Regions from separate parts of the Mus musculus genome. Here all the other regions are reported to be linked to region 1. The links are microRNA targets in miRTarBase. Many come from high-throughput screens and were not tested one by one. Region 1 holds a microRNA gene; each other region holds the end of a gene's coding sequence.

The links. Region 1 holds the annotated microRNA mmu-miR-669a-3p (ACAUAACAUACACACACACGUAU, at 2,718-2,740, opposite strand). A microRNA usually pairs through its seed, bases 2 to 8, with sites in the 3' UTR of a target mRNA and lowers its output. Matches are read on the target gene's strand: a 7mer-m8 pairs with bases 2 to 8, a 7mer-A1 pairs with bases 2 to 7 and ends in A, and an 8mer does both.
Region 2: miRTarBase lists Shisal2b as a target of mmu-miR-669a-3p. Seed matches in the 3' UTR shown: 7mer-m8 at 3,464-3,470.
Region 3: miRTarBase lists Sipa1l1 as a target of mmu-miR-669a-3p. Seed matches in the 3' UTR shown: 7mer-m8 at 3,428-3,434.

What each region holds. Positions count from the first base shown.
Region 1 is chr2:10,485,376-10,489,443 of GRCm38, reverse strand. It overlaps Mir669a-7 (microRNA 669a-7), which reads right to left and starts at 2,791; the gene lies at 2,705-2,791. All of the region lies in intron 10 of Sfmbt2 (Scm-like with four mbt domains 2), which reads right to left. It overlaps Mir467a-4 (microRNA 467a-4), which reads right to left and starts at 3,309; the gene lies at 3,227-3,309. Mir466b-4 (microRNA 466b-4) reads right to left here and starts at 3,021; the gene lies at 2,932-3,021. It also overlaps Mir467a-5, Mir466b-5 and Mir669p-1.
Region 2 is chr13:104,842,345-104,846,406 of GRCm38, forward strand. It overlaps Shisal2b (shisa like 2B), which reads right to left. Exons shown (of 3, transcript NM_029984.1): 3 at 2,939-3,719. The coding sequence ends at 3,592. Among named protein-coding and RNA genes, the nearest start is that of Shisal2b, 20 kb to the right of the region's middle.
Region 3 is chr12:82,449,683-82,453,744 of GRCm38, reverse strand. Sipa1l1 (signal-induced proliferation-associated 1 like 1) reads right to left here. Exons shown (of 21, transcript NM_172579.3): 21 at 1,959-3,844. The coding sequence ends at 3,701. Among named protein-coding and RNA genes, the nearest start is that of Gm51987, 5.3 kb to the right of the region's middle.

The sequences.
Region 1 (4,068 bases):
ACAGATGCAATGCATATACAAGTAAACACATATGCACATACATGGATGGCCTCACATGAATACCAGGATGATCTCTAACTGAATTAAGCATGAAGTTGAAATCCTTATCCTCCTGACTTTGTCAATCTTTTACACCTGGTGGGTGAGACCATTCAATGTCCCCTATTGCATAATCTCTAAAACTCTACATCACTTATCATTCAAAGGGATTGGCGAATGCCATTCCTGTGTCTGTGTATGTGTGCTTGCGTTTATACGTGTGTGTGTGTATGTTATGTATATTCAAATATAGACATGAACATGCACACACAACTATACACACATGCACATACATGGAGGAATCACAGGCTGATCTCTCATGAGGATAAGTATGAATTTGAACTCCTGATACTCTTAACTCTAGCAAGCATTTTCACTCTAAGTCACTTATCACTCAAATGGATTGATGAGTGCCATTCCCATGTGTCTGTGTGCTCATATGTGTCTTATGTGTGCGTGTATGTATATGTATATCATATTCACACATGTACATGTACACACACATCAACACATACACATATTCATAGGGGCAATCACATGAATGCCAGGATGACCTCTAACTCATCATGCCTTTACCATGAACTTGCACTCCTGATCTTCCCGACTCTACCAAGGGTTTCCCGTGGTTTGTGAGACCTCACCCTGGCCAGTCATACATAACCTCCAAAGCAGTAGGTCACATATCATTCAAATGGATCCGTGAGGGCCATTCCCGCATGTCTGTGTGCATGTGTGTGTAGGTGTGTGTATGTATATGCATAAAATATACACGCATATACATGCAGGCACTTACGCACACAGGCACATACATAGGGGCCATCACATTATTCCAGGATGATCTCTAACTGCTCATGAAGTTAAGCATGAAATTGAACTCCTGATCCTCCTGACACTGTCAATTGTTTACACCTGGTGAGTGAGACCTTCACTGTCCTACTTTATAATCAGCAAAATTCTAAGACATATATCATTCAAATGGATCAATGAGTGTCATTCTTATTTGTGTGAGTGTGCATGCCTGTGTGTGTGACTACATTTGTATGTGTGTGTATTTATATGTATGATCATATAAACACATGTACGTGCACACAAAATTATATGCACTTGTGCATACCTAGGGTCCATCACACAAAAACAGGGTGATCTCTCACTCATTATGAAGTTAAGCATGAATTTGAACTCCTGAGACTCCTAACTCTGGCAAGTGGTTTTCATCTGATAAGAGAGATTTTTCCCTATACCATGAATATACACTCAATGAAACTCTAAGCACGTATAAATCAAAAGGATGACTGCCATGTGTGTTTGTGTGCACATGTATGTTTCCCTAGTTGTGTGTGTGTGTGTGTGTGTGTGTATATATATATATATATATATATATACATATATATATATATATATATGCATGTTCATATACGCGCATGTACACGCACACTTCACCTATACACATAAACACAAACACAGGGAAAATCACATGAATTCCGGGCTGATCTCTAACTCATCATAAAGTTAAACATGAATTTGAATTGCTCATCCTCATGATGCTGGCAAGAGTATTCACCTCCTAACTAAGTCATAGCTCGGGCCATTCGTGGGAGTATGTTTGCATGTGAGTATATGCATATTCATGTACAGAAGTGAATATGTACTCAACTATACACACATGCACATTCTTGGTGGGCATCACATGAATCGCATGCTGAACTCTAACTCATCATGAAGTTAAACATAAATTTGAATTCCTCATCCTGACACTGACAAGAGTGCTCACCTCCTAACTGAGACATAGCTCTGGCCATTCCTATGAATGTGTGTGCATGTGTGTATATGCATATTCATATAGAGAAGTGAATATGCACACAACTATACACACATGCACATTTTTGGTGGGCATAAGATGAATCCCATGCTGATCATGAACTCATCACAAAATTCAGCACGAATTTGAACTCCTGATCCACCTGACTCTGTCAAGGGATTTCTCCTGCTGAGTGAGACCTCTCCCCATTCAGTAATGAGGAATCTTAAAACTCTAAGTCACATATCATTCAAATGGATCGATGAGTTGCATTCATGTTTGTGTGTGTGTTACTGTTTGTGTCTGTGTACATGTATATATTTGTGTAGATAGGTACATCCATATACTCAAATCCACACACAATAGAAACAGATACAGATAGGGATACATAGGGGGCATCACATGAATCCCAGGCATATCTCTAAGTCATCATGAAGTAAAGCATGAATTAGAACTCCTGATCCACAATCTTTCACACCTGGTGAGTAAAACCATTCACTGTCCCACTACTGCATAATCTTGAAAACTTTAAGTCACGTATCATTCAAACGTATAAATGAATGCAATTTTTTCCTGTGTGTGTGTGCTTGCATATACACGTGTGTTTATGTTATGTATATCATGTCAACACATACAATGCACATACAAGTAAGCACACATGCACATACATGGGTTGCATGACATTAATACCAAGATGTCTCCAAATGAAGTTAAGCATGAATTTGCAATCCTTATCCTCCTGACTTTGTCAATCGTTTACACCTGGTGAGTGAGGACATTCAATGCCCCCTATTGCATAATCTCTAAAACTCTACATCACTTATCATTCAAAGGGATTGGCGAATGCCATTCCTGTGTCTGTGTATGTGTGCTTGCGTTTATACGTGTGTGTGTATGTTATGTATATTCAAATATAGACATGAACATGCACACACAACTATACACACATGCACATACATGGAGGAATCACAGGCTGATCTCTCATGAGGATAAGTATGAATTTGAACTCCTGATACTCTTAACTCTAGCAAGCATTTTCACTCTAAGTCACTTATCACTCAAATGGATTGATGAGTGCCATTCCCATGTGTCTGTGTGCTCATATGTGTCTTATGTGTGCGTGTATGTATATGTATATCATATTCACACATGTACATGTACACACACATCAACACATACACACATACATAGGGGCAATCACATGAATGCCAGGATGACCTCTAACTCATCATGCCTTTACCATGAACTTGCACTCCTGATCTTCTCGAATCTACCAAGGGTTTTCCTGTGGTTTGTGAGACCTCACCCTGGCCCAGTCATACATAACCTCCAAAGCAGTAGGTCACATTTCATTCAAATGGATCCGTGAGGGCCATTCCCGCATGTCTGTGTGCATGTGTGTGTAGGTGTGTGTATGTATATGCATAAAATATACACGCATATACATGCAGGCACTTACGCACACAGGCACATACATAGGGGCCATCACATTATTCCAGGATGATCTCTAACTGCTCATGAAGTTAAGCATGAAATTGAACTCCTGATCCTCCTGACACTGACAATTGTTTACACCTGGTGAGTGAGAATATTCACTGTCCCTCTACTTTATAATCAGCAAAATTCTAAGACATAAATCATTCAAATGGATCAATGAGTGTCATTCTTATGTGTGTGAGTGTGCATGCCTGTGTGTGTGAATACATTTGTATGTGTGTGTATTTATATGTATGATCATATACACACATGTACGTGCACACACAATTATATGCACTTGTGCATACCTAGGATCCATCACACAAATACAGGGTGATCTCTAACTCATTATGAAGTTAGCATGAATTTGAACTCCTGAGACTTTTAACTCTGGCAAGTGGTTTTCATCTGATAAGTGACATTATTCCCTATACCATGAATATACACTCAATGAAACTCTAAGCACGTATAAATCAAATGGATGACTGCCATGTGTGTTTGTGTGCACATGAATGTGTCCCTAGTTGTGTGGGTGTATATATATATATATATATATATATATATATATATATATATATATATATGCATGTTCATATACGCGCATGTACAGGCATACTTCCCTATACACATAAACACAAACACAGGGAAAATCACATGAATTCCGGGCTGATCTCTAACTCATCATAAAGTTAAACATGAATTTGAACTGCTCATCCTCATGATGCTGGCAAGAGTATTCACCTCCTAACTGAGTC
Region 2 (4,062 bases), not on the chromosome of region 1:
AGAGGGTGATGAGCTGGAAATGAACAGTGTGCCTGAAAGAGTAGAAGCTCGGTGTGGCTAGTCTATCTGTGTAATTCAGAGCATAAAAACTGAGGAGACACTGTTTCAGGTTCCTGCAACCAAGTGAAGGGAGCCTTAGGCTCCATGAGGCTCCATGTTTGCAAGCTCACATTTAACTCTCTAAGCCATGAGAGTTTTAAGGAAGGAAACCTCGGGTTTGGTCTCATCTGTTTTGTGCTCCTGTTCTACAGTTTTTTAAAGATGAAAATGCTGTCATTAGTAGTCTACATAGAAGATAGTTTGAGCATCTTATGCTGTGTTGTTTGTGAATTATACAATAGCTTGTATTTCCTAGAACCAAAATAAAAAATAAAAATGCCTTACTGTGCCGTCAGATAAATCTCAGAATTTATACACATGCACACTTTTTTTAAAGGGGGACTTGCTTCATCTTATTCTGACAGGCTTAAAACTCTTGCTGTGTTAGCATTGGTGAAACCCAAACGTATTTTCCAGTGTATAGACTGCTTTAATGAAATAAGGCTTGCTTTTAATATTCTGATCAATTTTTGAAGTACCACCGTTTCAGAGTTTCAGAGAGACACGTCCCTCCAATAGCGGTAGATGTGAGCTGCCTCTGCAGGTGAGGCTGTGCACCATCCTAGGTTTCAAACTTTGCCTTAAGAACAGAGGTGACAGTGACCCCAGTTGCTAAGGCCAGGGTCTTTTGACCTCACTCATGCCTCTCCCTTCAACTCAGACTCAGCACAGCAGAGGTCCAGGGTCCGTCTCCTTGGACACTGTTTATGGCATATAGACAGCCATGTGCGACTCCATTTTGCCTTCCCCACAGATAGGGAGCGTGTGGGCTCCAGCCTTAATTTCCTCTTCTCCATGCCTTTTTTTTTTTTTTTTTTTTTTTTTGGTTTTTCGAGACAGGGTTTCTCTGTGTAGCCCTGGCTGTCCTGGAACTCACTCCGTAGACCAGGCTGGCCTCGAACTCAGAAATCCGCCTGCCTCTGCCTCCCGAGTGCTGGGATTAAAGGCGTGTGCCACCATGCCCGGCTTTTTTTTTTTTTTTTTTTTGTCTCCATGCCTTTTATGGTGCCTCCTTTCTCTTGCCTTTTGGCAAGGATAGTAGAGCTGTACCCATGCCTCCACTGAGCACTCCCCACCTAGATGCCCACCGGAGCTGATCTAGTAATATACTAACACCTGTGTGTCAGGGCGGCACATTTTCTGGCTGTCCTGAATCTCGAACTCCCTCTCTAGATCAGGCTGGCCTCAGGATCACAGAGATCTGCTTGCTTCTGCCTCAAGTGCTGGGATTAAAAGGCATGCGCCACCAGCCATTTAAAAGAGGCCCCAGATGGGGCAAGTTCTCTGTGGGTTAGAGGCCAGCCTGGTCTATATAATGAGTTACAAGGCAGCCAGGGCTACACACAGAGAAACCCTGTTTCAAAAAGCCAATACGTAATTTAAAAAAAAAAAAAAAAAAAAAAAAACTACTTGAAAAGATTAAAGTCTCCGTAAAAGCTCTGAGTCAGCACAAAATAAACTCTCTTTGCTTTTCTGATCTCAAAAAAAGTCATTTTTATAGCTAAAAATGTCCTAACTTTTAAACTTCATGTACACACTAGCATTTTAATATTTGAGCCTTGCAAAACTGTCCTACTTGAATGGAAAATATAACTCAAGTAGCAGGTATTATGGTGATGACCTGGGACTCCGGTCAGTATTAAATGTAATCATTAAATAAAATGCAGGAAATAAACATATCATCTCTGTTACATCAGCCACATTTCAGGTGCCCAGTATACGCTTAGCGTTGGTAGCAATCATACCATGCTGCAGATAAGAGAACATTCCTATTACCGCAAACCTTAAACAGTGCTAGTCTACAAGAAAGCCATAATTATGGTAGACATGATGAAAAGTTGCTACCCCTGAGCTTTGCACACACTGGAATGATGAGGCATTTCTTCTTGATATCAGACCAAAGAAGCCATGTTCAGCACATTTTGAAAGACATGTCCCCCAGCTGCTGAAATCTTCCCCAAAGCCAGTGTGTGTAGTGAAACATGCTCTAAGTTGTTGCCTTTTTCTACTGAATTTTCTATTAAATTTTCTTTTTAAAACTATGCCTATATTCTTAATAGATATATTTATGAAAAAAATTCCTCTTGAGATATACACTGTAGAAACTCTCTTTTCATGTTGGATGTGTGGTTCTCAGCCTTTCTAATGCCACAGTCCCTCATGTTGTGGTGACCCCCAACCATAAGCTTATTTTCATTGTTACATCATAGCTATAATTTTGCTACTGTTATGAATTGTGATGTAAATATCTGTGTTTCCTGGTGGGTGGCCTTACATCACTGTTACATCATAGCTGTAATTTTGCTACGGTTATGAATTGTGATGTAAATATCTGTGTTTCCTGGTGGGTGGCCTTAGGTAACCACTGTGAAAGGTCATTTGTCCTGCAGTGGGGTCACGACACAGGTTGACTATCACTGTGCTCTCTGGTAGCATTAGATGGAACTACACTGAGTACTTATGATAGCTAAGTCAGTCATTTGGAATATGTTTCTCGGCATATCAGCTGAGCCACAAGAAGGCTGATTTGCCTTCTTGCTTTTAATATTTTGTGTCAATTGATGAGGCACCTGCTGCTTGTAAGTTACAGAGAGAAGCACGAGATAACCCAAGACAGGGAGTACCTAACCTCCATGATGTTAACCCAGAGATAAGCAACCAGAGCAGGGAGTGTGTCCAAGGGGCCAGCTGAGTCTGCTGGTGACATTCAGATTTCTTTTATATCTTTCATTACAGACATTCTTCAGGGTAAGTATTGACAGGGGATTTGTCTATTATATGAAATACAGCAAGTACCCATTGCACAGATAATTCAGTGATACATTTGTCATTGAAAAGTAACTTTTATGAAGGTAATTTATTTTTGCTGCACACATACACAAATTCTCAGAAACATTGATTTCTAAGAGACTTGAGACAAGACCCGCCACCAGGTTTGCTTTCCCGGAATTAACAGTAGCATCCTGTATTAAATGATTGTGAAAGGTTGGTAATGAAACAAACCCACGTATTGCGCTTCACTGTGATTGGTTTGTCTCTCCATCGTTGCTGAACTCATTTTGATAGAAAAGCGTAGCTTCATGTTGTACAGAAACTTGACACAGTAAACTTCTACCCATAAACAACAGCACCTTAGTGAGTGTCTAATAAATGAATTCACTAAAACTGCAGCTGGCCTTGCTTTGTGAGTGACAGATTTTGGGAAAGTGATGTTAGCAGCTGATCTAAAATGTGTTCTTGACAAATGTGGTGGCCCAGACCTTAAACCTCAGCACTCAGGAGGCCCAGTCTGCATAGTGAGTTCCAGGATGAGCAAGGCCATGTATATAAAGTCTATATTTAAAATGACAACAACAACAAAAAACATAACAAACAAAACAAATCCACAAATAAAATGCATTCTTTATTTTTATTTAACTTTTTTGTATTTTTTTTCATTCTTTATTCTTAATGCTCCCTCTCTCAGATAAACTTTCAAAACAGGGATTTTAACTAACAGGCAATATTGATTTGTGTTATATCCATTGTTTTCTCTTGAGTCCCATCGTCAGCTTCATAGAAGGTCTCATTTGTTGAATTTGATACTGCATTGAGGCCTTTGGCTTTTCTGTTTATGTTGCCTGGAAATACACAAGACCAAATGAAATAATTAATCAAACTTACGACATAAAATTTGTCTTTTCAAAGTTTGTGCTTGAATTGTTATAATAGTATGGAAAATAGGACGTCCTGAAAATGTTATATAGATGAGTGAAAACCAAATCCATTCAGGATGATTTTGAGCCATGCATTCTGAAAGTGAAAGGAGATATTCCATCACAGGGGTACAAATTTCATTGCCATACTCTTTCTTCAGGCCTCTGTGAGAAAGCACACATTTCACAAGGTGTTAACAATTTCAGGGTCACTCAAAGTGTGACTCCCTACTCTACATATAACTAGTAAGTAGACTGCATTAAAGCT
Region 3 (4,062 bases), not on the chromosome of region 1:
TGGCCCAGGTCATTTGTGCTGGCAGTGGCCAGCTTTATACATGTGGCTGTTCCATTTTAGCAGTTGGGCATCTTACCTAAGGCCTTCGACTAAGTCAAATGCCTTTCTCATCAAAGAATGACGACTCCTATTGAATAGGTCAGTAGTAGAGGAATGAGTTTATGGGCAAATATCCCAACATTTCTGTGGCACTATTGATTTCTAACTACATAGCTTCTGGCTAACTGTACCCAAGTATTTACTGGTTGTCTTCCTTCCTTCCTTCCTTCCTCCCTTCCTTTCTCTCTCTCTCTCTCTTTTCTTTTTTTTTTTTTTTAAAGATTTATTTATTTATTTATTTATTTATTTATTTATTTATTACTTGTAAGTACACTGTAGCTTCAGACATACCAGAAGAGGGCATCAGATCTCATTACGGGTGGTTGTGAGCCACCATGTGGTTGCTGGGATTTGAACTTCCGACCTTCGGAAGAGCAGTCGGGTGCTCTTACCCACTAAGCCATCTCACCAGCCCCCTCTCTTTTCTTTTTTTAAAGATTTATTACGTATAGTGTTCTGTCTGCATGTATGCCTACAGGCCAGAAGAGGGCATCAGATCTCATTATAGATGGTTGTGAGCCACCATGTGGTTGCTGGGAATTGAACTCAGGACCTTTGGAAGTGCAGTCAGTGTTCTTAACTGCTGAGTCATCTCTCCAGCCCTGGTTGTGTTTCTTACCAAAATCTTGCACCAAAAACTCGTTTCTTCACCCTGAGAAGACAGAAGAACTTTCTTCCAAAACCACACTCTCCTACATTTAGCAGGAATCAAAGTGCTTATTGGATAGGCCGGCTTCTTAGGTTCTTGGACTACTTGGCTTTTGAGTAGGGTCTCCTTGTTGAGTGCACACTGCCCATAAACCTCCAACCCTCCTACCTGAGCCTCAAATGCTGAATGCGCCACCAGCCAACCACCTGTTCTTGAGCAGTTTTCATCCTCATCTATGGAGAAATCCCTTTGGCTCATCATCTACAACAGTTTAGGAGCCCAGCCAAGTTGGCCTATCTAGAGTTTTTTCATCAAGGAAGCCCAATGGCCCCTCCTGATGCCAAGACCTTTAATACCAAGGCACAAAGCCAAGCTGATTTTATTGTTTGTACCGTTTATGTCAGTCTTTTATCTCCCAGGCTGACCTTGAACTTCTGACCCTTCTGCCTCCACCTCCTGAATGTGCTAATCACTACACTGGGCAGTACTGAGGACTAAGCACAGGACTTGGGCAAATGTTGTACCAGCTGGGCTATATCCCTAAGCCCCCCCACACCCCAAGCTATTCCTGAATAGATCAGTCAAGAGTGTCTTGTGGTATCCACTCTTATTATCCTAGATTTACAATTCTAGAGTTTGTTGGAATTGTTGAATCAACTAAAATAAAGTGTGTCATTTCTCAAATTAGCTGCATCACTGGAGAGGAACGGCAATGTGCTGTTTTTAGTCCAGCTGTGTTTTAATCCAGTGCTGTGTTTTTGACTTTAGGATGCACTGATTTCTCCAGTGGCCTAACTTTTCTAATTATATTTTGTACAGTCTAATATTAACAGGCATTCACATTCCCTGAGCACAGGATTGTTTGATAGTTTGGAATGCTTTTCTAAACACAAAGCAAACCAAAAACCAAACCCAAACTATGCTGGTCTCAGGGAATGGCAAGGCTGAGATGGGAAGCACACACATGGACAGTGAAGAAGCAAACTGACCATACAATGCTCTGGAACTAATCACACCCGGAAAGGGCGAGGGTGGGGATTCTCTGCAGACCTGTGAACAGGAGCGAAGATGCCCATTACCTTCTGAAAAGGACCGGCCCTCCAGCACCCTCTCTAGAGTTAATGGAGCTTGATGAGAAGATCAGGAAGCAAGGACCAGGGAGTTCCTGGGTGGTGTCTCAAGTGAAAAAACCCGAGCAATAACCAATCCATTTTAAAAGAGCATTTAAAATGAATTTTATTGTTTGAATTTTACAAGTAGTCTTCAGAGACTTCAAACAAGAACTCGGTTGCAAAACTCTAATAAATAGCTTGCCCCAAGTCCCCAAAGAAACAGGAAAACCAAATGAAAGGAAACTCGGGAAGATAAGCAAGACTTCAGAATGCTCGGATGTTAGCAATATTTCTCATTTACAGAAAGACATCAGGCAATGTACAACCTCCTTCATGGACATTAGAGAGTCGACTATCATCTTTACAAAGCATTCCCAAATCCTCCTACTTCACGGTAGAAATGTTAACAGGGGAAAGAAAAAACCTGGTGGTGGGGGAACTCACAATCATTTGTGAAACTACAGCATAAAGAGGTGTGTGTGTGTGTGAGAGAGAGAGAGAGAGGAGAGAGAGAGAGAGAGAGAGGAGAAGAGAGAAGAGAAAGACAGAGGGAGACAGAGAGGGAGAGAGAGGAGGAAGAGGGAGGAGGAAGGGGGATACATATTGCTTTAGGGATAGAAACCAGGGCAAGTGGTTTTCTAGTTTACAGCAGGGAACTTTTAGCACAACGCCAGTTAACACTGGCCAGCCCCATGTCTGTACAGCAGCAAGGGTTAGGGGCCCAGAACAGCCTGCATCACTGGACAGGAGGAACAGTGCAGGGGTAATTTCTGCAGCAGAGTCCTTTGGATGGCATCAAAAGGATGCAGAAAATGCTGTGCATAAACTCCACACTGCGACATGCAGGTTCCAAAAGCCCATTTTGTTTTAGGCATTGCTCCAAACAGGCAGGGATTAAACTCGCGGTTTAACATTTGCTGCTGTTAGCTTTTCCTAATTACAAACACTGGTTGAAGTCTTGCTTTGGTGAGAAAGATTTATTAGTCATTTTGAACAAGCTTTAAAAAGTTTGCTACATCTTTAAAAATCTCAAACAGAAACTATATATATATATATAGAGAGAGAGACTTTTGACCAAAATGTGTTTACAATGCAAACAGGTAAGGTTTTCATTTGAGAAAATTCAGATGCCAATTAATGTTAGGAGCCAGGAAGGTGGAATAGGTTGATTTCTGATTTAGTAGGGTTCACTTAAGCCAAACAAAGTATTAGGAAGGTACTGGGGACAGTTCTTCTGGAGAAAGAAGGGACAAGATGCAAGATCTGAAGGGTGAGTGGTGTGGCCCTGCTGGTCCCCAGCAGACAGGATGCAGAGGGCAGAAGCCCCACCCAGACCACTTAGGGGTGGGGCCTTCCCTTAAAGTCCCTCTCACAGGCATTTTAGGGACTGAGGCAAGGAAAGGCCCCTCCCCACCCCCAAACAGTTAAAAAAGAAAAACTTCCTTCCTAGGAACACAGACATCTGTCAGGGGACAGGGAGCTTGGGGTACCTGAACCAGGTCAGCTGATGGAAGCAGAGACTGAGGGCCAGGGGCACTTGGGTCTGGGCCCAGCTTCTTTGTAAATACATAACAGAGAAAGATATTGTGCAAAAAATAAAGACATTCACATTTGAGCAGTTAAATTTTTATTTTACTTTTTAAAATTTTTATTTAATTTTTTGTTTTTCTTTTCTAAAAAAGGCAGATAATGATTGTTGATCTGCAATTGTGCTGTGCACTGTCCGATATGAACAGGCTGGGACGCTGGGGACTCTGAGAATACTTTCCAAGGCGTGAATGGGTGCTTTAGGGGCCCACATAGGGCAGCCTGTCCCTTTCTCGTTTCCCCTCGGCTGGCCCTAGCTCATGTCTATGGTGTTGAAGACCCACTCTGTGAACTTCTTCAGCTTGTCCGAGGCGTTCTGGGACTCCTCCTGCAGCCTCAGGTTGTCCTCCCGCAGGTGCTCAACTTCCGCCTGCAGCTGGGCCTTGTCTTCTTTTTCCTGAAGGAGAAGCCAGGCACACATGACCTAGGGGTGTGCACGTATCTGGGCAACCCACCCAGCTCTCAGGAGAAGCAGTTCTGATTCCCTTTTGGAGGTCCCTCCCCTCTCCCCAGTCTACTAAATGCCCACACACATCAGATCCAAGCCCAGGGGGCTCCCAGAAAGCTGCCTTGATTAAGTAAGTCAAAGCCAATCAAGAATCACAAATTTCAACT